Linked DNA regions of Arabidopsis thaliana. The protein of the gene in region 1 purifies or fractionates together with the protein of each later gene. This does not show direct contact. Each region holds a gene or a part of one and is shown in the gene's direction. Other genes may lie near its edges.

Region 1 (10,640 bases):
AGTTGAAGAATAAGAAGAAGAAACTTGAAAAGTATGGTATAGACAACGGGAATACAACACAAGTGCGGATTAAAGATGGTCTTACCCACCCCTTTTGATGGAAATGTTGAAACCACAGAAAATCTTATCACAGTTCGGTCATGCAACCACAAAGGGAATTTCATGGTCTCATGTAGTATCCTCACCTGAACACACATGTTTCGATCAGCAGAACATTCGCAAACTGATTAGGCCAATGTCACAAACTAGAGGCACTAACCTGACTAAGTATAGCTGCCTCGGCAAGTTCAGCATTGAGCTCAAGAACTTCCCAGTCATCTTCAGTCTCTGGTTCGACTGTTACTAAAGTAGCCTTGGGCACATTAGGAAGAACACGAACTTTAACAACTGTACCATCCGGCAACGAAATGCTTTCCGCAAACACTCGAGCGATCTTATTAGAAGAATCAAAATCAAAAACAGGGGAATGTAAGAGTAATCAGAATTCCAAAACCAAAGTAGTCGATTACTGGATTTGAATAAACTGGATCAAATATAGAGAGGGATAGAAACCTCGATCGCAGAAGAGGAGGAGCTAGAGCCGGACCAAGCAACTGACCAACGGCGGTCACCGGAGCGTAGCTCGACAGGGAGAAGCGGAGGGAGAGGAGAGGAGCTGGTGGATTGAAGCGCGTGTAGTAATTGACGAGGGAGTGAGACGAAACAGTCGACGCCGGCGACGGTATTAACCACCGCTTCTGTTTCCATCACGTCGTCGGGGATGATGATTTGCCGATTGCGAGACATTGGTACAATTTCCTAAGCTTATCTTTTTTGTTCGAATTGCTAGCCTCATTTTGGGCTTCAATAATTATATTTGGGCCTGTCTAATTTCCTAATTGGGCCTTTTAAACCTATAGTTAGTTACTTATTTTTGTTTAAGTTCAAACATGTAACAAAAAAGAGAAATGATGTATATACAGTACATAATACATCTATGGACTAATAATAATCTATGAATTAGTCCGCAACATGCCAACATGCAACATTTTATGTCATAAAAAAAAACAAAAAAAAACTATGAACAATCCGCCATATCAATATGCAACATCTTATGTCATCACTATGCATGAAAGTCTCTACCATTAATTTGTGAAACCAAGAATAATAGAAAAAGATTCTACAATTTCTCGATCGACTCATTTTCTACGTATATGTTTGCAGTTAACGATAATGTAATCATTAGAGGTCCACATTCAAATTGGAACCAAATCACAACCAAAAAGATAATGCGAAGAAATATGCAATAGTACTACTACAAGTCTACAAAATTAAAGTAACAAAAATACATAAACAAAAAGAGAAGGATTTGTTGAGGGTTTAGAGACGAGAAAGTTGAGAAAGATTAATGGGGTAACAATCGGATTTGGAACCATTAAAGGCTCTGAGAGCAATTATGAGATTAAAAGCTTGTGTTGGATGAAATGCATCCCAGAACACATGTCGGTCTCTGAAAGCGCATGGTACCGCTAATGGCAGACACGTTATTTCTCCTCTATTTCTCCCTACTCCACAACACCCTCTATCCGTCACTTCGAATCCTACAAACAATAAAAGAAAACAAAATCAAACCATTTCAAGTTAAAAATGCTCTCAACTAAGCTAAAACGAAACATTTGATTAAAAAAAATGTAAAACAAGGGATAAGTTAGATACTTAACCGTAATTAAATGGGTTGGTGAGAATATCCACGGCGGCTCCATAGGTATTACCGTAAACAAAGATGGCTTCACTAGCGGTTTTGTTATCGGAATTGAGACGATCCACCAGCGATACAAGACGGTTGTTGAAAAGTTCAGCCATCTCGTTTACAGCCTCGACACATTCACCTGGCAGAGCCGCTTGGGCGGCTAGTTGGTCTGGTATGCAACCCAATGGACCCACACCGGCTATTACAAATTTCCTAAACCCCTTTCCATACAATTCCTAACAAAATTTTGTACAACACTCGAATTTTAGTTTGACATGAGTATTATTGTTATAAAATAAAAATTCGTAATTATCTATACGGATTTTAGGCACTCGATGACTTCACACACACACACATATATGGTTAATGATATTACTGATAGTGATTCGTAAATAAGACTTACAAGGAGATGAGTGGTGAAGTTGGAGAGAAGGAGGTCGGCGAAAGAAGTAGGGTCGTAAATAGAGCTTGAGAGGAATAGCCTTGGTTTCAGATAATTGTTAATGTAGTCATTGTTACCCAATGACACCACCACCAATGACTTTGCCATATATTCCTTCACTGACTCTTTCCTCATGCTCCTACTTATCTCCATTAATGTCTTCTCGAAGTTCTCCACTTGTCTTCCCATGCTAAATCTCTCTCCCTTCATCCATGCATGCATGCAAGAATGCAACCCCATTTATTATAGTCTTTTTTTTGGGGTTATTAAATACTCATGTCTCGTAGGCAAAAGTTTTTCATGCACCCTATCAAAGTCACTCGACATTAAATAACCTCCCGTGATTCAAATGTGGCTACTTCTATTGGTTAAAGGACGACTGTTCCGGCGGACTTTATGCACCCCAAATTCACTTTTTTATTTTTTTATTTTTTTTACTTAGCGAAAGATAACTTTCAATTTTCAATATCGAAAACCGTATGCTTATTAACAAAAAAGCATAGTACAATTCAATTTTCGGTTTCAGTTTTGGATATTTCGAACTTGGATTCTTTATATGAACATAAGCAATCGATTAGACCAATTTCGTTAAACAAAGTTTTTGATATGAACTAACATGGTAAAAAAAAAGAAACATATCCTATATAACCAAAAAATGTTTTGAACAATAAAAATAGACATTTAGAAAGAAAAAAAAGAAGAAGTACCAGATGGCGACCGGTTTCCTCTAAGATTCCTCCGGCAGCTGAGGCATAGTTCACACCATGGAGAATATCCACTCCTCCGTCAACCGTGTCCATAAACGCCGGTATCTCCGGCAGCCCTAGCAACTCTCCTGCAACCATCCACATCCATCCCCATGATCATGTTAATTAATTAATTGCTAACCCAAAACAAACTAAAAAATTAACAAAACAAAAAAAAAAAGTAAAAGGGTGAATCTCTTGTGCAAATTAAATTTATGCATGCACTGATTTCAAAACCAAATGCATGTAGAGACCGATATGTAAAATATGTACCAATGAAATCGACGATAGTTTTGCCGTTAGAGAAGCGACCGGTTGGTTGATTTCCAGCGAAATCGATGCCGTAAGGGAGATAGTTGGACCTAGCCAGTGAGTTCAAGTGGTTATTGTTTCCGTTATCCACCAAAGAGTCTCCGAACACAAACATCGCCGGAAACATTGCCGTCGTCTCGGATGAGTCTTCTCCACCGGCGAGTACAAATACTACTAGAAACCATGGAACAAGTACTAATGTTTGAACTGTGCAAGACATCATCATCATGTCTTTAAACTTGAATATTTCACTATCATGCATGGTCGCTTGAGATATATAAATACCAAGGTGATATGACTCCTTCCTTCGATTTATTTATTTATTATTTTATTTCGTCTCAGTGAATTTAATGAGCTCTGTTTTCCGTTGACTTTTTATTGTACTGTATAAAAAAAATTAAAAACGACAAAATCTATATCCTATGAACAATTCAATTAATAGAAAGTTTTATGGAAAAAGTGAGAGATTGAATAAGTATGAGGGCATAACGGCAATAAATAAAACCTAAATTGTGGAGACTTGTAAGAGCACGACGGTCTGTGACAAGAAGCAAATATTAACGCGAAAAATAAACATTTGTCCAAAATAAAGTAGCAAACCAAGGAGAACGGAAAATAAATTAGACTCATCAGAGAAACTCAGAGAGAGGCAAAAGTCCGAATCCAGTTTGCCATTTATTACTTCCCGGCGGCAAAATCCAAAAGGGTTTGCTTCTTCGTGCTCTGCTTCAGTTTCAATTGGTAAAAGAAATATCCTTTTTAAAAAAATCTTCGGCTCTGTGTTCATTTTAGGGATTCAATGTTTAGTCTGGTGATTCAAATTCTGTGTTTTGCTCTAGGTTGTGTATGAATTAAGTGCAATTCTATCTGTTGCAGCAGTGAATTTCTGGGTTATTGAATTTGGGAGTGATGAGTGGTGTTCCAAAGAGATCTCACGAAGAGGGTGTTACTCATCCATCTTCTTCTTCATCAGTAGCAAAATACCCTCACGAGGATTCTGGATCTTACCCTAAATCGCCGCATCAGCCTGTGACGCCACCACCGGCTCAGGTTCATCATAACCATCAACAGCCCCATCAGCATCCCCAATCTCAATCTCAATCTCAGCCTCAACCTCACCTCCAGGCGCTTCCTCACCCTCATTCTCATTCTCACTCCCATTCACCACTTGCTGCTGCTGCTTCTGCTTCTGCTCCTTATGAGGTTGAATCTAGAACGGTGGTTAAGGTTGCGAGAAGCGAGCCTAGAGATGGAGAGAGACGCTCTCCTCTGCCTCTTGTCTATCGGTCTCCGTCGCTGCCCACAACTGTTTCTTCTAGTGATCCTCATTTGACTCACGCCCCTGTGCCGATGGAGCCGAGAGATGGTGCTAAGGATGGCAGGGAAATTAGGGTTGAGAGTAGAGAAAATAGGAGTGATGGGAGAGAGATATATGGTGAGACAAAGAGGGAGATTCAGGGTCCTAAGGGAGACAGAGATGTGAAATTTGAGAGATCAGTAGATGACTTTAGCGGAAAAGGTAATACCGGAAGCTATACTAGGAATGATGGGAGAGAGATGTATGGTGAGACTAAGAGGGAGATTCAGGGTCCTAAGAGTGACAGGGATGCCAAGTTTGAGCGTCCAGGGGATGATTTTAGCGGGAAAAGTAATGCCGGTAGCTATACTAGGGATACAAAATTTGATAGGGAGAATCAAAATTATAATGAACAAAAGGGGGAGATTAAGATGGAAAAGGAAGGGCATGCTCACTTGGCTTGGAAAGAGCAGAAGGATTACCATAGAGGGAAGAGAGTTGCTGAAGGTTCGACTGCAAATGTGGACCCGTGGGTTGTATCCCGCGGTAATCCGCAAGGCCCAACTGAGGTTGGGCCTAAAGATCTCTCTGCGCCTGTGGAGGGGTCTCATTTGGAAGGACGTGAAACCGTCGGAGAAAACAAGGTTGATGCCAAAAACGAAGATAGATTTAAGGAAAAAGATAAGAAAAGAAAAGAGTTAAAGCATCGAGAATGGGGGGACCGAGACAAGGATAGAAATGACCGTCGAGTATCTGTGCTTGTTGGTAGTGTCATGAGTGAACCCAAAGAGATTGGAAGAGAAGAAAGGGAATCCGATAGGTGGGAACGGGAGAGGATGGAGCAGAAAGATCGAGAAAGAAATAAAGAGAAAGATAAAGATCATATCAAAAGAGAGCCAAGGACTGGTGCTGAGAAAGAGATCTCGCAGAACGAGAAAGAGCTGGGAGAAGCATCTGCCAAACCCTCAGAGCAGGAATATGTGGCACCAGAGCAGAAGAAGCAGAACGAACCGGATAATTGTGAAAAAGACGAAAGAGAAACAAAGGAAAAAAGGAGAGAGAGGGATGGTGATTCAGAGGCAGAAAGAGCTGAAAAGCGCAGCAGAATCAGTGAAAAAGAATCTGAAGATGGGTGTTTAGAGGGTGAAGGAGCTACCGAGAGGGAAAAGGATGCCTTCAATTATGGGGTTCAGCAGAGGAAGAGAGCGCTGAGACCGAGAGGCAGCCCACAAACCACTAATCGCGACAATGTCCGCTCACGGAGTCAGGACAACGAAGGGTGCGTCTCTCTGTCTTCCTCGTTTAATTATAATTATATGTTTCTCATTGCTTAGTAGAATCCTTTATCTTTACCATTTAGAGAGACATACCCCATTGATTAAATTTGGAGCCTATATAGTAATATCTGCAGGTGATACGATACTATATGATGAAGGGGCCATTATTGTTGAATATCTTATTACCATTATTGTTTTTCCTCTTAAAAGATAAAAAGCCTTTAAATAAAATTCTGCAATCATATGTGTATTATGTAGTGTCTTATCTCTGAAAACCAAATTTGATTTTTCTCTGGATTCCTCTCCGCTCCTTTTCTATCTGTGTTAAGAATATTATGTCTTTTATTACGTAAGTTAGGTATTAGCTAAGCTCAAGACTTTTGTTTTTGTAATTACTGGCCTGGCTTGTAATGTATCATCCGTTTTTGATTGTGTTTATTTTGCAGAGTACAAGGTAATCATTCATTTCTATATCCTCAAGAAAGGATCAAGTTGCACTGCTTGGAGAACAATAGTAAAAAAAAACCGGTTATGACATTTTTCTTTTACATATCACTGAAATGGTCATCTACGAACACACATGCACTTGATAAGCAATCTATTTTGAGATTTTCTTCTTATGGTCGTCCTTAGGTTACTGTTCTTTACTCTCACAGTAGAATGTCAAATATATAAAGAACCTCAAGATCTAAAAATATGGACCTAATAGTCGATGTGATCCTTAATGCTACTTGAGATTTTGGCTGCTAAAAGTTACTTACTGCCCTGGCTTTTTTTTTAACTTTTATCATTTTTCTGTTTCTTTTATTTTCTACACAATTTGAATCCCTTTGCACTTCATAATTTGATCTTGTTGAATTTTATTGTACTGATGATTCAGGCAAGTCAGAGGTGTCGATTGTTGTTTACAAAGTTGGCGAATGTATGCAAGAACTGATTAAGTTGTGGAAAGAATATGATTTGTCTCATCCTGATAAAAGCGGTGATTTCGCTAATAATGGCCCCACTCTTGAAGTTAGGATTCCAGCTGAGCATGTTACTGCTACAAATCGCCAAGTAAGTCGAATATATATCCAAATTTTTCTCATAATCATTTTCATTGTTTTTCTTCTAGATGACTTGGTGCATATAGTTTTAGTTCCAGTCTTTTGATCTGTTTAATTCACTTCGCCTATTAATTTGAGAAACACAGCTCCCTTGTTTGTTACTTGCTGAGACATTTGGCTCGTGTGCAGGTAAGAGGTGGCCAACTATGGGGAACAGATATATACACAGACGATTCCGATCTTGTTGCTGGTATGTACCCTAATGAATCTTATGCAATTATTATCTTTGTTTGGCCCGAACATGACATTGATTCTGGTCTACCTGTCATCTAGTTCTCATGCATACAGGTTACTGTCGTCCCACAGCTTCTCCTCCTCCACCGACAATGCAAGAGCTGCGCACTACTATTAGAGTCTTGCCGTCACAAGATTGTAAGTTAGCTTACCTCTGTCTTGCTTTTGATTCCTTTAACTGACTGTTGCATGTGAACTTCATACTATGTTGAGCTCTTCTCTGCTTTATATCAAGGAAGAATCTTTATCAAACTTCCAACTTAACTGATATATTTGTTAGACTACACCTCCAAGCTAAGGAACAATGTCCGTTCTCGAGCATGGGGAGCTGGAATCGGATGCAGTTATAGAGTTGAGCGGTGCTATATACTGAAGGTGATTTGACATGTGCCATTATGTGTCTTTCTAATTTCCTTGATTATCTTCTCCCACTATGTGCGTAATATCTAGTTTTAAGTGAATTTGTGTAAAACTCCTTATGGAAATTCTGATGATATGATTCCAGAAAGGAGGTGGGACTATTGAACTGGAACCTTCCCTTACACACTCCTCAACTGTGGAGCCAACTCTTGCACCAATGGCTGTTGAAAGATCTATGACCACCAGAGCTGCAGCTTCGGTATTTTCCTTCCACTTTGGAAATATCTGCTCTCTTAATCTTCTTACAACTCTTGGATTATTACACATGGCGGCTTGCATAGTTTTCTCATATTTCATATCTTTCGAACACTGACGACTTATTTACTGTTCTGTAGAATGCTCTGCGGCAACAAAGGTTTGTACGAGAAGTCACAATACAATACAATCTCTGCAATGAACCTTGGTAACTCTCTGTCAATAATCTCCAAATACTTCAAAAATTGTTCACAGAATTTCCTAAATTTATCAGAAATCTTTGTCACCTAAAAGTTATCAGACGCAAGGGTCAGTTTTACTTACGCATCGATCTACTTGTCTGCAGGATTAAATATAGCATAAGCATTGTTGCTGATAAAGGTCTCAAGAAGCCTCTTTTCACCTCTGCCCGCTTGAAGAAAGGGGAAGTTTTGTACTTAGAAACTCATTCATGCAGGTATGCACATCACATGTTTCTTTTATCTGACATTAATGACATAAGACGCTGAATCTAATCTGTGTATGCAAAAAGGTATGAGCTCTGTTTCGCAGGAGAGAAGACCATCAAAGCAATCCAAGCCTCACAACAACAATCATCACATGAAGCTATGGAGACAGATAATAATAATAACAAGTCACAGAACCATCTGACAAACGGTGACAAAACAGATTCAGACAACAGTTTAATTGATGTTTTCCGCTGGTCACGATGTAAGAAACCTCTCCCACAGAAGCTTATGCGGTCTATCGGGTTTCCACTCCCAGCAGATCATATCGAGGTTAACATTTTTCTCCAATTTGACTCTTCTTGTTTTGAAAATTCTTTATAAAACAAATGCTGATGATGTGTTGTGGATTTTGGAATGGAGTAGGTGTTGGAGGAGAATCTTGATTGGGAAGATGTACAGTGGTCACAAACTGGTGTTTGGATTGCTGGAAAAGAGTACACTCTTGCTCGTGTTCATTTTCTCTCCCCCAACTAAAAAAAACCTTTCATGCTTTGCTTCTATCTTACAAAACTTTTTATATTTTATTTATGGATTAGAGACTACAGTTACTTTGGCCTATCTTGTCTTGTGTACTTCTTCCTTGTAACATTTATTTATATATCGTCAGAAACATCCTTGGCACACCTCAACTTGCCACCTAACTTCTTCAGCACTAGAGGTATACACTCGGCCATCTGCCCAGGTTCCCTTTTCGAGAATCAAAAAAAGATTGTGCATATCTCTGATTCCAGCATCAAAATCCTCCCAAGCCGTCCTGATCAAACCCCATTGGACTGACTTGCCACCAATATGATATACTCCATTCTTTGGTTTGATATTTCTCGAGGAGACATGATGGATAACCAAAGCAGCCTTTCCCCCACGGGACTACCAATTTTCGGGCCGCTTTTAACACTTCTCCATAACTTCAAGCCGAACTGCAACACACTAGAATTTCATCATGCAGCAAGAACATCAACATATAGCGAGAGCTCACTCCTAGTTGCATAACCTCCTCTCTAAGCTCCTTTTTATACTTAGCCCGTTCAGGCCCGCGGGCTGCTAGCCCACTTTAACATCACATATGCCATCAGTGAACATCACATATGTTGGGCTTTGTTAGCTTTGTATGATGTGGTTCAATGAACATCACATATGCCAAAGACGGCATTTTGGTAATTACATGTTGACTTAGAATATAGAATGGCTTCTCTTTAGAAATGATTTCATTTCATCTTCTTCTGAAAACCGACATTTGTAATGAAATGTAAAGTGGAACTCAGATCAACAAAAGATTTGGTTTATTACTACTTTTTTTTTTGCTCATATTTTTTTTTTCATATACTGAAATTGATTGAATAGTTTTTTCTTAATCAGCTACAGAAGCCTTACATAAATAACTCTGAATCGTTCATAAGACTATCTCTAATATTCTAAAGCTGGAGAGGCCAGAGAAGAAACAAAAGAGCCAACAATACTATTTACCAAAAACTCTCATTTGTTAAACAAAAATCCTTTTTTCTTCCCCTTCTTTCTCTGCAGAGTCTGCAACCAAATCAGAGAACCAAACAATCAACCACTGCTTCTCTCAAAAAGCGCTAATATTAGTATGACTATGATGCTTTGTTAGAAAGGAAACGAATCAACCATGTTATCAAAGAAGATAAATGGTTATTAGTCTGAAACATTACCTTCTTAAGAAATAATCTAAGGGTGAGCACAATTGTATCTCTTGAGCTGCCAAATACAAACACAAAACAGAAGATTGACTGCTTAATACAAGAAACCCAAAACTGAATACTTGGAACACATTAAACAACTTCATTTAAAAAGAAAACACTAGCAGATTATTCTAATTCAAGTTTAGACTATTGGTGATGCATTTGAAATCAGAAAGAAACAAAAACAAAAAGCGTCTCGTTTCACTTTCATCTATTTTCATAGAAGAAAATCTGTTTTAAACGACGAAGGAGTTTTGATCTACTTTACTTTATCCAAAGAAAGACGACTTCTACTTACCAGCTAAGATCTGTTGCATCATTGTCCACTACTCGACAGAGATGCTCCTCGCCATCGGTACCAATAATCACAAAATCCGCAGGCTGATCAAAGGGAATCACAATCTACGAGCAGAATCAGAAAGATCACAATATTAGTTCATTCTTCGGGATGTATGTTAACATAATTCAGCCAATATTACATTTCTAACACAAAGGGGCAAATAAGGCAAGACTCTTACATTAGTAGAAGAGGAGAACTTTTCTGTAATTACAGGGTCATTAGTAGGTTTGATGCTGTAGCCTTCTTTCTTAATAGACAATGTAGCTGCTTCCCATATATCCAAATAACCAATCTGTTTCATAAGAGAGATCGCATAGTAAAAAAGCAATAGGC
Region 2 (6,611 bases), on another chromosome or scaffold:
TGTTTTGAAACTACGATTGAAGTTTGGTCAAAGCTTGCTAATGATTTAGCTAACCATTAGAATTCGAACTTTTATGCATGCACTATAATCTTTCTTTGATCTTTGAATTATTTCAAAATACAGAAACCTTTCTTCCATTAATTCCAAAAGAAAAAAAATGCCGCCGCAACTAAATTATATATGTACTTTGTTTGTTGTTTCTCTGGCCAAGCTTTGACCTTCCGCGAACGTGAAGTGCTATTTGAACGGTCCACCACTGCTTCCATATCCTCTTAGGGCAACTAATTTCACCTTTTATATATGTGTGGGTGAATAAATTACTAGAAATGTCCAAAACATAAGATATTATTTGAAGATTTTTAGGACCCATACCATATTTTCCAATTTGCATGTCTAGGAGAATCCACTTGGAAAACAACTTAAGAAAATGACATTGCACTATGTACTTAATACCGTACTAAACTTTCAGACTTTTCAATATTTTATAGGATTAAGGTAATGGCTAAGAGCCTAAGATATTTATGAACTAACGTAGTTAAGAAATACGCGTCCATATAAACGTAAAAGTAAAAAACTTTCAAAACATGAATTTTATGAACTCTTGAAACAAACCAGTACTAGCCTACACATTTAAGTCGATCCACATTATCTCATAAAAGAGTAGTAATATATAATGTATTGAGTGGTAAAGTACTCACATACAACTTACAAGCCTTAACGAGTTTTTACATAGAAGACCTATAAGGCTATAAGGATTATCAATAGAGAGTAAAGACAGTCTAAGATGGTATACACAAGTATCATAACAGCTCAAATGACTAAATGAAGTTAAAAACGAATAAAAGAATATGTGAATCATTCACAGTGAATGCTTAGAAAACAATAAAAAATAAAATGTAAGAAATTAAGAATGACTTCAGACTCTAACGTTGTTATTCTGTCTCTACATTTCTCCTATGGTCAGAAGAGGTGGCACAACTGAATCAACATCACACTAATATCGTCCAAGGAGCCTCGTGATACAGAGAGGTCAACGAGCTTCTTGCAAGCCAGCAATGGCTTCCGTTTCTGATCGGTCCCTTTGCAAAATGGTCGAGCTATGTCTACTGCCTCCTGATTACTAACCTTGTCCCATAGACCATCTGATGCTAAGATCAAGAACTCGTGTTGGGGATTGATTCGGAGAATATTTATCTCTGGTTCAGATATTATCCATTGTTTGAGATGAGCATCTCCTATTCCTCTAGATACCGCTAATGATCCTTGAATTCTCCAAACACTATTGAATGTATCCACATAACCGCCCTGCAGGATTATCGTAATCAGAACCATGTAATCATGATAAAACCTAACAGTAACTTCTTTTGCAAGAATTCTTACCGAGCTCTCAATTCTGTTTCGTTCATCATCTCTGGAAGGGCGGTGGTCAGAAGTCAAGGCCTCCGCGAATCCTCCAACGCTCAAAACAGCACGGCAGTCACCAGCATTGGCCACCACAAGATTTCCGTCGCTGATCAGAGCCGTGACACAGCACGAGCCGCCCTTAACGTTTTTTTCCTTGAGAAACTCAGAATCAGTCGCTAGATAACCACGTTTTACAGCTTCTTCAATCTTTGACTCGTTCCTCCCACCAACTATCTCGCCAAGAATGTTACTACACAAGTTCTTAGCCGCAAACTCAGCCGCTGTTGGTCCTCCGTGACCATCATAGACTCCGAATATTGCCTGCGGTTATAAAAAAGCTAAAAATGTTAAATCCCCATTTTGTAAGTCACTGGATCTATCTTTTTTTTTTTTCTTGAACACTAGTCATTGGTTCTATCTAATCAAGAACTACTCATACAATTTGTCATATATATGATTCACTGAATTTTCTTATAATCTTTAGAACTTCTAATTTGATTCATTGAGTCAACAACACAGCATAAATAAATTTTAAGTTATATATTACCCATCTTCAAATCGCAATTCATACTAATTAAGCAATAATCAGTAAATAAACTCGAAATTACGGAAGAAAATTGAAATTACCTGTTTGGGATCTCCTTGAAGATTAGTGATGGCAGAGAAACGATCCTCCATAGCTTCTCTTTTACCTCTCTTGCAATAAACAGAGTAACCATCACCTTCCCTCTCCACTGCTCTACTCTCCTCCCTCGGCGTATCTGCATTCGATATAGGAGCTGCAATACCAACCGGAGCCACCGGTATATCAAGCGTCGTCGGTCGTTTCCTCTTCAGAATGCTTCCCGGACCAGAGTCCGATCCAAACCCTAGTTTAGCCGGCGGTTTCAGGAGACGGAGGCAGAACGGAGATGTGGGAGACGCGGCGGAAGGAGAAGTAGAAGAAACGGGAGGATTGAGATGGGAAAGAGACAGGGTTAGGGTTTCATGTGCCGGAGAAGTGTTCAACGGTTTGTTGCAGAAAAGAGACGAAGACGGAGAGAACACCGGTGAGTTGCAAACGGCAACTGAAGACGACATCGTTTCGTAGAAAACTTAAAAGTTTCCTTTTTCTGATGATTGATTTGATTGTTAGTCTTCTAGACGTTTGTGTTTCTCTGTTTAGTGTCAACGAGAGAGAAGAAAGAGGCTTGAATATATAATATAAGACCTGGACAAGTCTTTCTCTGTTTCTCTGTGGCCGTTGCTTCTTCTTCTTCTTCCAGGTCAAACGTTACCACTCTCATCTTTCTCTTTGACTTTTTCAAATCATGAATCCACCGCCACAGTCCATTTTTTCTGCTTTTTCTTTGTCAACTGCGATTTTCCAGAAATTAAATGACTTTGGGAAGATAAAAAGTCAAATAAGGCCGAAATAGGAAAGAAATCAACACCTAAAATTAAAAAGCCCATCAGGAAAGCCTTTAATGAGATAGCCCATATTAAGTCGGACCTACATGGATCTTTAGAAACCCGACCCGGGTCGTTTTATTTGCAGAGCCATCTCTTGTTCGGATCGGCGGCTCGGAGATCAGGGATCGCTAGTTCAGACACCTTCTCTTCTTCTTCGTTCTCCTTCGAGGTTAGTTTCGATAATATTTTCCTTTGTTGTTTTTTAACTTTGATTTATGCGTGATAGATGTTACTGATTCAGAAATTTCGTTCCGTGTTCATGTTTCTCTGAATTCTTAGGGTTTAGCGTTGTCTATGCTTATTCTTTTGCGCCGCTCCGTTTTGGGCTCGAACAGCTTTCTCTTGTTTATCTGTGTTCGATTCAGCGAATTGATGGTTTCCATTGTTGCTTCGTTTCTTGTTCACTTTTCAGTGAACTTCAAGAATTTACCGTCGTTCCATTGATTTAGCTAGAATTGGATATAGAAAAGTTTCAGCTTGAGTGGAACTGTAAGTAGAATAACTGCTGCCTGATAGGTGTTTGTTGAAATGCCTCTGAGAAACAAAAATTGTGTTTTCTTTACTTTGTTAACCAATGTTATTTGCAGGTCAAAATCTTCTTAATCGAGGAAGAGCAAGATCTTCTTTAAGCAGTCATGGCCAAGCATCATCCTGATTTGATCATGTGCCGGAAACAACCTGGCATTGCTATTGGGCGACTGTGCGAGAAGTGTGATGGAAAATGCGTCATATGTGATTCCTATGTCCGCCCGTGTACTCTGGTTAGGATTTGCGATGAATGCAACTATGGTTCGTTCCAAGGGCGGTGTGTCATATGCGGAGGAGTTGGAATCTCGGATGCTTACTACTGCAAAGAGTGTACACAACAGGAGAAAGATAGAGATGGTTGTCCTAAGATAGTCAATCTTGGCAGTGCCAAAACTGATCTGTTCTATGAACGTAAGAAATATGGATTCAAAAAACGATAGTAGTTTGTTGTTACTTGAGCTATTGATCTTTTATTTATTGATGCTAGGAAAGTGTCTGTACTTGTCTTGTTTGTGTTAAGGAAATTTTATCCGGTGAAGTAATTTAAGACATGGGTTCAAACTAAGGATTATGGTTTGTTGATTTAGTCAGCCTTATTACCATTGCTATGGTTGGTTACTGTTTCTTAAGTGGTTGTCAATTATGTGATTGTTAGCGTTTGGTTGTCCATAAATATGATTCAGTTGGTGGATTAGGCCTCGGAAGTTTTCTGGAGAAACACCGTCCCTCTGTGTTTGCCAATGAATTATCTGACTCACAAAATTAACGTAATCTTGTGTATAAATCAACTTCATTCTTTTAAGTTTTAACAGCATTACCACTTGTGAATTCAGCTATGATTGAATACATAGCTGGGCGATAACTATAATTTTCTAGATAAATGTCAACTTAAAACTTTAAAGAATACGCAATAACTCTGACTCTCTAACGTCGACAAAAAGGTTATCATCCATTACATAAAAAACCCCACATGATCGTCAGAATTCAGAAATATTCGTTTTCAAAGTAAGGAAACCCCAAAATCCCTTTTTTGGGCCAAAAATATAGACGTTGACTTTTTATATCGGACGGTGCCTGTAAGTCAACTGCCCATGCATGTTCGCTTCGTTTATGTGTTAACTGTTAACTTAACAGTGTGGAATCCACAATTTGTCTGCAATAGTCAACTCCTATCTCCAATAAGACAATGACACGTGTTAAACATCAGCTACTTTATTTCGAAACAGATCCTGTATTTCTAGCCGAATTAATTCAATCATAATCTAAATAATTGCTATTTACGAGTCAAAAAATATTTAGACGAAAATTTGATATTGTAGCTAGCCATTAAGAAAAACGTTAATTTGTAAGAAACGTTTACGCTGATGATTTATTCAGGGAAGACCACTGAAACAATGAAACACAAGATTTATATAGTGATGTAAAATGTTGTAATAGACAGACTTTTAATATCAAAATATTTCAAACCACATGCCTTTGCAGGTATCTACACCAATCTTTAATCAAAATGTTTTAAATTTTGTTGTGCCCTAATTCCTTATAAATGTATTTTGCTCGAATTTGGGTTAGACATTCAAAATGATATGTTTGTAGGAATGCTTCCATGTCAATAAATTGCACTATTCCGGTTATGTAGCACTGTCCGAAATATATATATTAAAGTAGTTTGAAAAATAAGGTTAATTAATCTTTATTATTAATGAATACATTTCCATTTCACGTTTATAAAAGGAGAGGGTTACGAGAGATATAGTTGAATAGAGAAGAGAAAGAGGAAGAGAAAAAGGGGAAAGAGAAGAGAAGATGGTTTTTTGTTATGCAATTCGGCTGTGTTTATGCATTTTCTTGGCACTTTCAATCGTCTCTTCGGCTCGACTAACTTTTTCATTTTCAGGTAAGAGAAATCGAGCTCATCATCCTATCTACATACAGAAAAGATCAAATTTTGGAGTTGTATATAAACTCCTCATTCGAATTTTGAAATCCATAATAGTATATCGTTGGATTAATTACTTTCGTAATTATCTAAGTTTTAGCTTCGTAATATATGTTAAACCTGCATGCATGACAGAAAACGAAAAGATGATGGTGAGGGGTAGATCATTGATGGTGAGCACCAACGACTACGGCGAGCCATCGGCCAACGCCAAACACAATCCACCTGGAAGGCGTCGTGGAGGAGGTCGGAGAGGGTAAATAAATAAAAAGATAAAAATAAAAAAATATGGTTTTGGATACATTTAAGATCTTTAATTTTACTCATTTTCTCTCAGTATGTCATCTCTTTATATACTGAACAATAAAAACCTTCCATCAAATAATACGTTCTGATACATTAATAAATTAGTAATGAACACCTAGACTCGTATCTTCTAATCTCAATGTTTAATGAATGGTAAAAATAATTATTTAATTTTCCGTGGTCAACAATGCATAATCTTTTTATTTATTTTGTCTTCTTACCTTTCAAAAATTTCTCAACTTGTCAACAGAAAAAATAAAAATCCCAATAACAAAGGTGACAACCGAAACAGAAGCACATGACCACAATGCTAAAGATGGATAAAAAAAATAGAGCAAAAAGAAAGACAAAAATTTCAGTAGTCAAGAGTATAATTAAGCACGTATAATTTGCAAAATTTTTATTTTATTTTTATGAACCGTTTGGTGTATATATATAATCCTTGCTTTCCAGTTTTGATGATCTTTTTGTGCTACTTTGTATGCGGTTAAAGATTGTTGTAATAGGCAAAGAAATCTTAAGTAATGCCTCAGCTGTTAAACGTTGTGATCTCCTCTGTTCAAAATATTTCAAGTTGATCTTACTTATGGTAATGCTCTACTCGTGATTGTGAGTTTGAACTAGTCACTGTTAAGGTTTTCTTTATAATTGATTGTCAAGCTAATGAATAAGTTTGTGAATGAGGTTTTAGAAAGATGCATGATTGGAAGTTGTGTTTAGTAAATGCTTCTCATTACAACTAGAATTTACTATAGAATCATAGAACGGCCATAACCAAACTTCATGAGTCCGGTGATATTATTGGAATAGAATTCACATAATTTTCATACTTTTGTTACTTAGACTGTCTACATAATGCCACATAATGAAAATTTGAATTAGAAAACTTGAATACTAAATCTACAGATATTTCAAGTGACTTCTAATGTATGACAATAAGACATTAAGACCCCTTCCATATCATGACCATTTCAAACTCGTGTCA
Region 3 (6,602 bases), on another chromosome or scaffold:
CCGTAATATCTCCCACCTGTCTCCATCTGCTCCCACCTGTCTCATCCCAAAAAACTTTCACTATTCACTCATAATTTACAATAATGATCTATATGTTACCCTCCTAGTTATAGGTATGTGAAAAATTTCACTTATATAGAGGTTATAACTTTAGCTTACCCTCGTAAAGAACCTGTGTGGCTCCACCAGTGACCAGTGTTGAACAATAGAACGTCGGCTGTGCGCCAAGCATTCGATGCATCCACAGAGATTTCGTCGAGTTTAAGAGTTGTCTTTCCGTTAATTTTGTCGATGTCTACAAGATAAGGAGCTCTATAGAATGATACCTTCACGTTGTAGTCCTGTCATTGCATATACACATTAGCAAAGAACTGGAAGTAACTTGAGGTATAACTTAAGGTTTGAATGGTAACAAACAATAGTTTGTTTATCGCCTTTCAACTAATTTTAATGAATAGACCTAAACTTATTTTCAGCAAATTAAAATTGTTTTCATTTAAGTGCCTTAAAAGAATAAAGCTGAAAGCTAAAATTGTTTTCTTATCGGAAACTTAAAGAAAGTATTATTAAAGTAATATAAGAACTTCAATTTATAGCAAGAAAATTAATTCAGATTAATTAAAATGACTTCTTTCTAGTGGTCTTATTCTAATCCGAAGAGCTTAGATCAAAATTATCTGAAAATAAACTAATATTCCATATTCATACCAAAAAAAAGAAGTATAATACTGTAGATTAGTAGTAACTGATATTGCTTTATTGGACCAGTGAAACTGTCACCGACGACGTCAAGTTGTGAGGGTAATAATAGTTGAAAACGACGTTCAAAATTACAACTTTTGACCTCAATTTTCACGAGGTTATTCGAGAAAACTTGACCAAACAGAAAAAAAGTTTCATTTACCGACAATAGAAAATTTGTTTTGGGAACTTACAAGGATCTTGAAGGTAGAGAGAGGATCTTCATGAATGATGTGAGTATTAATGGACGGTGCTGATGAAGAGATCATACATATCAACGACTCCCATTGGTTTCTACCCAACGAATCACCAACGAACATTATGGTTTTGTCTCTCATTTCTTGTAGAAACTTCACTCCATTGAATCTGCTTTCCCAAATGGAGTATAATCAGAAAGGGGTTCCATAAATAAATCATTGCGTCGACATTACATATTTAAAATAATAAGTACTTATTATATTAACCGTACCAAACTCCACCTAATTAACAGTAAAATCAATTTGTTTTTTGTTAAAAACGAATCTGTTAAACTTGTACTTATTACACATTTAGAAAAGGAGAATCTCTCATAATTAACTAATAGAAAAATATATTATAAAGTTGTATGTATGTAATACCCCTAATTATGAAAAAAATGTAGTGAAGGAATGTCTATAACCATAAAATATTAAATACTAACAAATAATTTGGGATCATTGTATGATCCAAATACTATCGTATATATATGACAATTCTTGGTATAACCAGCTAGAATTTGTTTTTGTCTTTTTCATAAAGTAATCAAATTTACAATCTTGGTTGGTATAGTGGCCCTACCAAAAATTCATTTGCCAAAGCATAAGTTTTACTATTGGATGTCAGATTATAACCTCGGTATCAATAAAATGAATATTTCTTCCTCAAAAACAAGACAACTAAAATTAACATTAACCAAATTAATCTAACAAAGTAGAGCTAGTGACAAGTGAGTGAGTTTAAATAACCTAGGGACATTGCAGTTGAAAGGTTTCCACCGGAACTTGAGATAGTCGGAGTCAGGTCTGCCGTAAGTCTGGCAGTCGAATCCCGGATCTATGATTCCTCGGCCGCATTCTTTAGACCGGTAAAGTGGGTAAGTCTCATCCCGCACCCACTCGCCGGCGAACAGATCACAACTACTATGATTCACCGGGAAAACCACCTGACTTCGGCGAGGATGCTTCACGAAGTTGCTGTGGTTGCTTTGGATCGGCCGCCGGAAGAGAGGGAGAGGTGAAGCTGACGTCGCGTTTTGGAGAAGAAACAAGAAGAGGAAAGTGAGACATTGAACAGCCGCCATTAAAGAAGCGCTTGAAGAAAAGAAAAGAAAAGAGAGAGAGAGAAACGAGTAAAGAAGAGAAGTTGTTGTTATTATATGTTTGTCCTTTGCATGGAACTTACTAATACGTAATGTTTTCGAGGACTCCATCTTTTAAAAGGACGAAAAATATGGGGTCGGGTTTTAATTTATTTTCTTATAATAATTGAATTTAAGTATTTATGCTTTACCCATAAATAACAACATTTAATACCAGTATTAGTGAATTACGAGTTACTGCTCCGGACTCTGAAACTTAAACGGTTTTGGGAAACACATATAAAATCAATGTGTAACAGTAAAACAAACTTCAAACGTATTATCAATAGAAAAAAAGGTAAAACAAACGTATCAAGAATTCAAGGTATATAAATATAATAGATAACGAGTTAACGACCTTCTTTATGATCTCACAAGGTATCAAGATTTTGTAATTGTTCCTTAGAGAAAATACAAAAATGCAGATTCTTTGCTTTACTTTACCTCCATGTCTAGAATATGATCATTTTTTTTATAATTGTGAAAAAGCCACGTCACTGTGGTGATACTCAGTCAAAGCTAGGTCAATGAAATTACCAATTTGGCACTGACAGTGGCAGCTGCTAGTTGCGCACACTCATAAACGGTAACGTTTGGACCGGGTCTAAATTGGGTACTATTGATTAGGACATGGTTTAATTGATTTGACTGCCGGTTTGGTTTGGAGCAACTTAAACTAATCTGGTCCAATAATAATGGGCTTTTACTTTGGGCTTTAAAGATTCTGATTGGACCCACTTTACTAAACTGGAATCTGGATGCTTCGTTATTTGTGTAGAATCCGACCCGATTCGTTTTATTGCTCTTTTTGCTTCGTCGTCGATCTTGGCGCTCTGGAAATTTCTCGTCGCAACGTTCTTCTCTATTGGCTCAAGTTAGATCTCCCTTTACTTGTGTGAGTTTTATTTCACCTTTTTCTGGGGTTTGTTTATTTTGTGTACTGATTTCGTTGCTCTGAAATCTTAGGGTTTGTATTTTGTAATGTCTATGCTTATTGATGGAGCTTTCGGTAGTTTGATCAAATTTCAAATTTCTTATCGATAGTTTCTCTTCCACGATTTTGTTGGGTTAGTAGAGTAGGCCTCTGGAACTGGAAATTAGAAAATTTTGGCTGGAACTGATGCATGTAAGGTGTTCGACGAAATTCCTCTGAGAAACTATTAGTGACAAGCTTCTTTTTTGAAGTTTTACTTTCTTTTCTGATTCTCTAACTGTTGATTAGAGTTTAGTTTTTCAGTAGTTTTATTAATTCCTAGTCTCCATTTAGTTGGAAGGAGCTTATTAGTTTTCTTTTACTAAGCTATCTCTTGCTCACCTTTTCCTTTGTGAATGAGTATATAGACAAATGACCTCTTTTTGCTTTTGTTTTGGTTTGCAGATCAAACACTGTTCCAGTAAGCCATGGCGAAGCATCACCCTGATTTGATCATGTGCCGGAAACAACCCGGAATTGCTATTGGACGACTGTGTGAGAAATGCGATGGGAAATGCGTGATTTGTGATTCTTATGTGCGTCCGTGTACTCTAGTACGTATTTGTGATGAATGCAACTACGGGTCATTCCAAGGTCGGTGTGTTATATGCGGTGGCGTTGGAATCTCAGATGCTTATTACTGCAAAGAGTGTACACAGCAGGAGAAAGACAGAGATGGTTGCCCCAAGATTGTTAACCTTGGCAGTGCGAAAACCGATCTCTTCTATGAACGCAAGAAATACGGATTCAAAAAACGATGATAGTTCGGTATTTCGTGATTTGTACGGTCCTTTGATTACTTGATTTGGATCTCTTATGCTATGTGTAAACTTGTTTGTTGACCCCCGTTGCATAAAACATATATTCCAATAAAACCTGAAGATATTGGATACAAAACCTAAGTTATGCTTTGTTTTATGATTTTCTTAAGTTACACATGTTTCTCTCGATTATTTCTTAATACTTAAAAATTATATATATCATAATCTTACAAAGCCAAAGGAATATATTTATAACCAGACTCGAACAAACATGACAAGACCCGAGATTCATATTCGAGAAATGATGTTGTGAAGTCCGGTTCATCGATCAAGCAGTCGATAGTGATATAAAATTGAGTCTATCGTAAAATTTATCCCACCAAAATCCAATAATATCACCAGTCTTGAACTTTCTTTTATCAAGAATGTTACTCCATCCGTGAAACTTGAAATTTCCATCTTGCTCTTTTTTCATAATAAGAGTTGTTGTAATCTTCGAATCGTATTCGTATAAATCCAACAATTGTACCGAATCGTGTTGTGACAATTTTACACGACGATGTTTACTAAACCATGGAAATAAGTTTTTCTCTACAAACTCTTTAGGCATTGTTAATGTATTACTCAAACCTGTGTCTGATGCTTTCAACTTTATCAGGATGTTCAATGAATGGCTTGGATCAAACGGCTTATCGTGACACAACTCAGTTCTTGCCATGATTTAGCACAGAAATTATATGAATATCAGGTTTTGTATTGAAGAATTTGTTTATGGGTTAAGGATACATATATATATATATATATAACAATAATTGTGTTGCGTGGATGATTGTAATTAAGAGTTTTTGACAAAACAGATATGGTTTTTTCTTTCTCTCATAAATATCATAAGATTCACTATTGATTAAACATTTGGTATTTAAATATAATCAAAGTTTAAAATTAGTACTAGATTTTAACCCACGGTATACCGCGGGACGATTTATTTTGTAAAAGTAATATATATTAAAACTTGCAAATTTTATTTTTATAAAATATTTATATTTTACAGTTTATAATTGTTGTTAAGTAACGCTATACCACGAATCAATGAGACAATTGTTAAAAAACTGAAGTTTTAACCCCTATTAAAACAACATATTAATAATATTTTAAAAAATTTTAAATATTAATTCAAATACATCCACCATATAACACAATTCCAAAATAAAATCCGTTCTGTAATTTCTTTACCCGTCCCGTGATTTTTTTTAAAGTAGTAATTTTAAAATTTTAAGAATTATTTTTTATATATAAAAGTTTTGCAAATTGTATCATTCTCTAATACATTTATATTTTATAGTTTAATTTTATATATAGTAACATTATACATACCACATAACATTTTTGGTTTTATATAATCTTTTCTAAATTAGGATTATTTGATATATTTAATATTAGTGGTCTTAAAAAATAATAAATTAAAGATTTAACTTGTATTGAAACGGTGGATTGATTATATTTTACTTTTTTATTAATGTTGATTCAAAAACCCGTCCCTCCAAATCCGTCTTACCAAAAAGCCATTTATTTTATTAATATTAATTTTATTAATGATATGACTCTGAATTATAATCTAAACATTTTAGCTAATAACATAGGAGTGCACTATATTTATTTATTATGGGAATGTACCTTATGACCCGAATGCACTTTTACCCAAATCCACCAAAAAAAATCTTGCAAAAATACTATAGAGATAATAAACGATAGTCGGTTCTGATAGGTATAAGATTAGCAAATATATTAGTTAGCTTTTATTAGTTAAAGAATACAAATTGAAAAGGTATATTACACTTTATTCAAATATAGTATCAAAACTTATATAACACAGAGATTTGATAATTTTTTAATTGTTGAGTACTTTTTTTTGTGCTAATTTTTATGTGATTAAGATTTAATTGATTTCGTATATAAAATTATTAAATTGTTTTACGAACTTATTTGTTTATAATTTGGTAACAGATAGATATTCGAATATTTAGTATATTTTGCTTTAGTTTAGGAAATCTTTGATGACCCGTTTTTAGATCCAATAAGCCCTATAATCTAGATATTAACCTGCAGTATACCGCATGTAGGCTTATTATATATTAGTTAAACTAAAAACTTTTACTGTAAAGATGATTTTAAAATATATGATATTATTTTATTTGATTTTAAATGTATAGTAAACTGTGAGTTGTATATGTTTTGTTGATATTATCTATATTGTTTAGTGTTTAAGATTATACACATGTAGTTTGATTGTTAATTTAAGAGTTTCACCTGTATTATACCATCTTGTATTAATATCGATCTAAACCCGTCAATTCTAGGATTTTCGAGCTTGTATTAAAAATTAAATCACATCATACACATAAAAAAAATCTAATATGTTATTAATTATTGTAGTATATAAGATTATAAATTTTCAATATAATATGTATAAAATTGAATATAAATATTTCAAATTATGACCTGTTACTCAGTAGAAAGTTTTCTTAAATCTATTTTTCACCCGTTATAATATTTTTTCATGTATTGAACAATTTATATTCGTTTTTAAAAATTCAAATTATGGCATATGCGAAAAAGTCTAATTCTTTTTTTATAATGATGATTTTATTTTTTCGAAAAATAGAATCATATAAAGATGAGAAGTGAACTATAATAATTAATAAAAAATTAATAAGATAATTTAGATATCAAATCTAATTTGTTGGTTTTAATT

What was found.
Region 2: the proteins of AT5G08450 (region 1) and AT1G07170 fractionate together in Arabidopsis thaliana (co-fractionation; one large-scale study listed by BioGRID). This does not show direct contact.
Region 3: the proteins of AT5G08450 (region 1) and AT2G30000 fractionate together in Arabidopsis thaliana (co-fractionation; one large-scale study listed by BioGRID). This does not show direct contact.

Annotation. Positions count from the first base shown.
Region 1 is NC_003076.8:2,726,071-2,736,710, reverse strand, and holds AT5G08450 (zinc finger CCCH domain protein), read left to right. Parts: upstream 1-3,785; 5' UTR 3,786-3,970; intron 3,971-4,068; exon of another isoform or gene 4,069-4,105; 5' UTR 4,106-4,138; coding exon 4,139-5,805; intron 5,806-6,249; coding exon 6,250-6,257; intron 6,258-6,683; coding exon 6,684-6,859; intron 6,860-7,038; coding exon 7,039-7,099; intron 7,100-7,182; coding exon 7,183-7,281; intron 7,282-7,423; coding exon 7,424-7,518; intron 7,519-7,648; coding exon 7,649-7,762; intron 7,763-7,898; coding exon 7,899-7,966; intron 7,967-8,104; coding exon 8,105-8,215; intron 8,216-8,290; coding exon 8,291-8,537; intron 8,538-8,630; coding exon 8,631-8,741; 3' UTR 8,742-9,098; downstream 9,099-10,640. Other genes in the region: PEX1 (peroxisome 1), read right to left, coding at 86-185, 260-433, 553-786; AT5G08460 (GDSL-like Lipase/Acylhydrolase superfamily protein), read right to left, coding at 1,360-1,580, 1,701-1,965, 2,133-2,375, 2,879-3,006, 3,191-3,491; AT5G08440 (uncharacterized protein), read right to left, coding at 9,741-9,791, 9,938-9,983, 10,266-10,369, 10,486-10,640.
Region 2 is NC_003070.9:2,197,195-2,203,805, forward strand, and holds AT1G07170 (PHF5-like protein), read left to right. Parts: upstream 1-2,802; 5' UTR 2,803-3,025; exon of another isoform or gene 3,026-3,443; 5' UTR 3,444-3,491; coding exon 3,492-3,824; 3' UTR 3,825-4,078; downstream 4,079-6,611. Other genes in the region: AT1G07160 (Protein phosphatase 2C family protein), read right to left, coding at 961-1,305, 1,381-1,725, 2,032-2,484; AT1G07175 (alternative NAD(P)H dehydrogenase), read left to right, coding at 5,188-5,278, 5,456-5,576, 5,877-5,928.
Region 3 is NC_003071.7:12,801,290-12,807,891, reverse strand, and holds AT2G30000 (PHF5-like protein), read left to right. Parts: upstream 1-2,867; 5' UTR 2,868-3,011; intron 3,012-3,494; 5' UTR 3,495-3,517; coding exon 3,518-3,850; 3' UTR 3,851-4,069; downstream 4,070-6,602. Other genes in the region: TBL45 (TRICHOME BIREFRINGENCE-LIKE 45), read right to left, coding at 1-36, 160-341, 936-1,107, 1,725-2,188.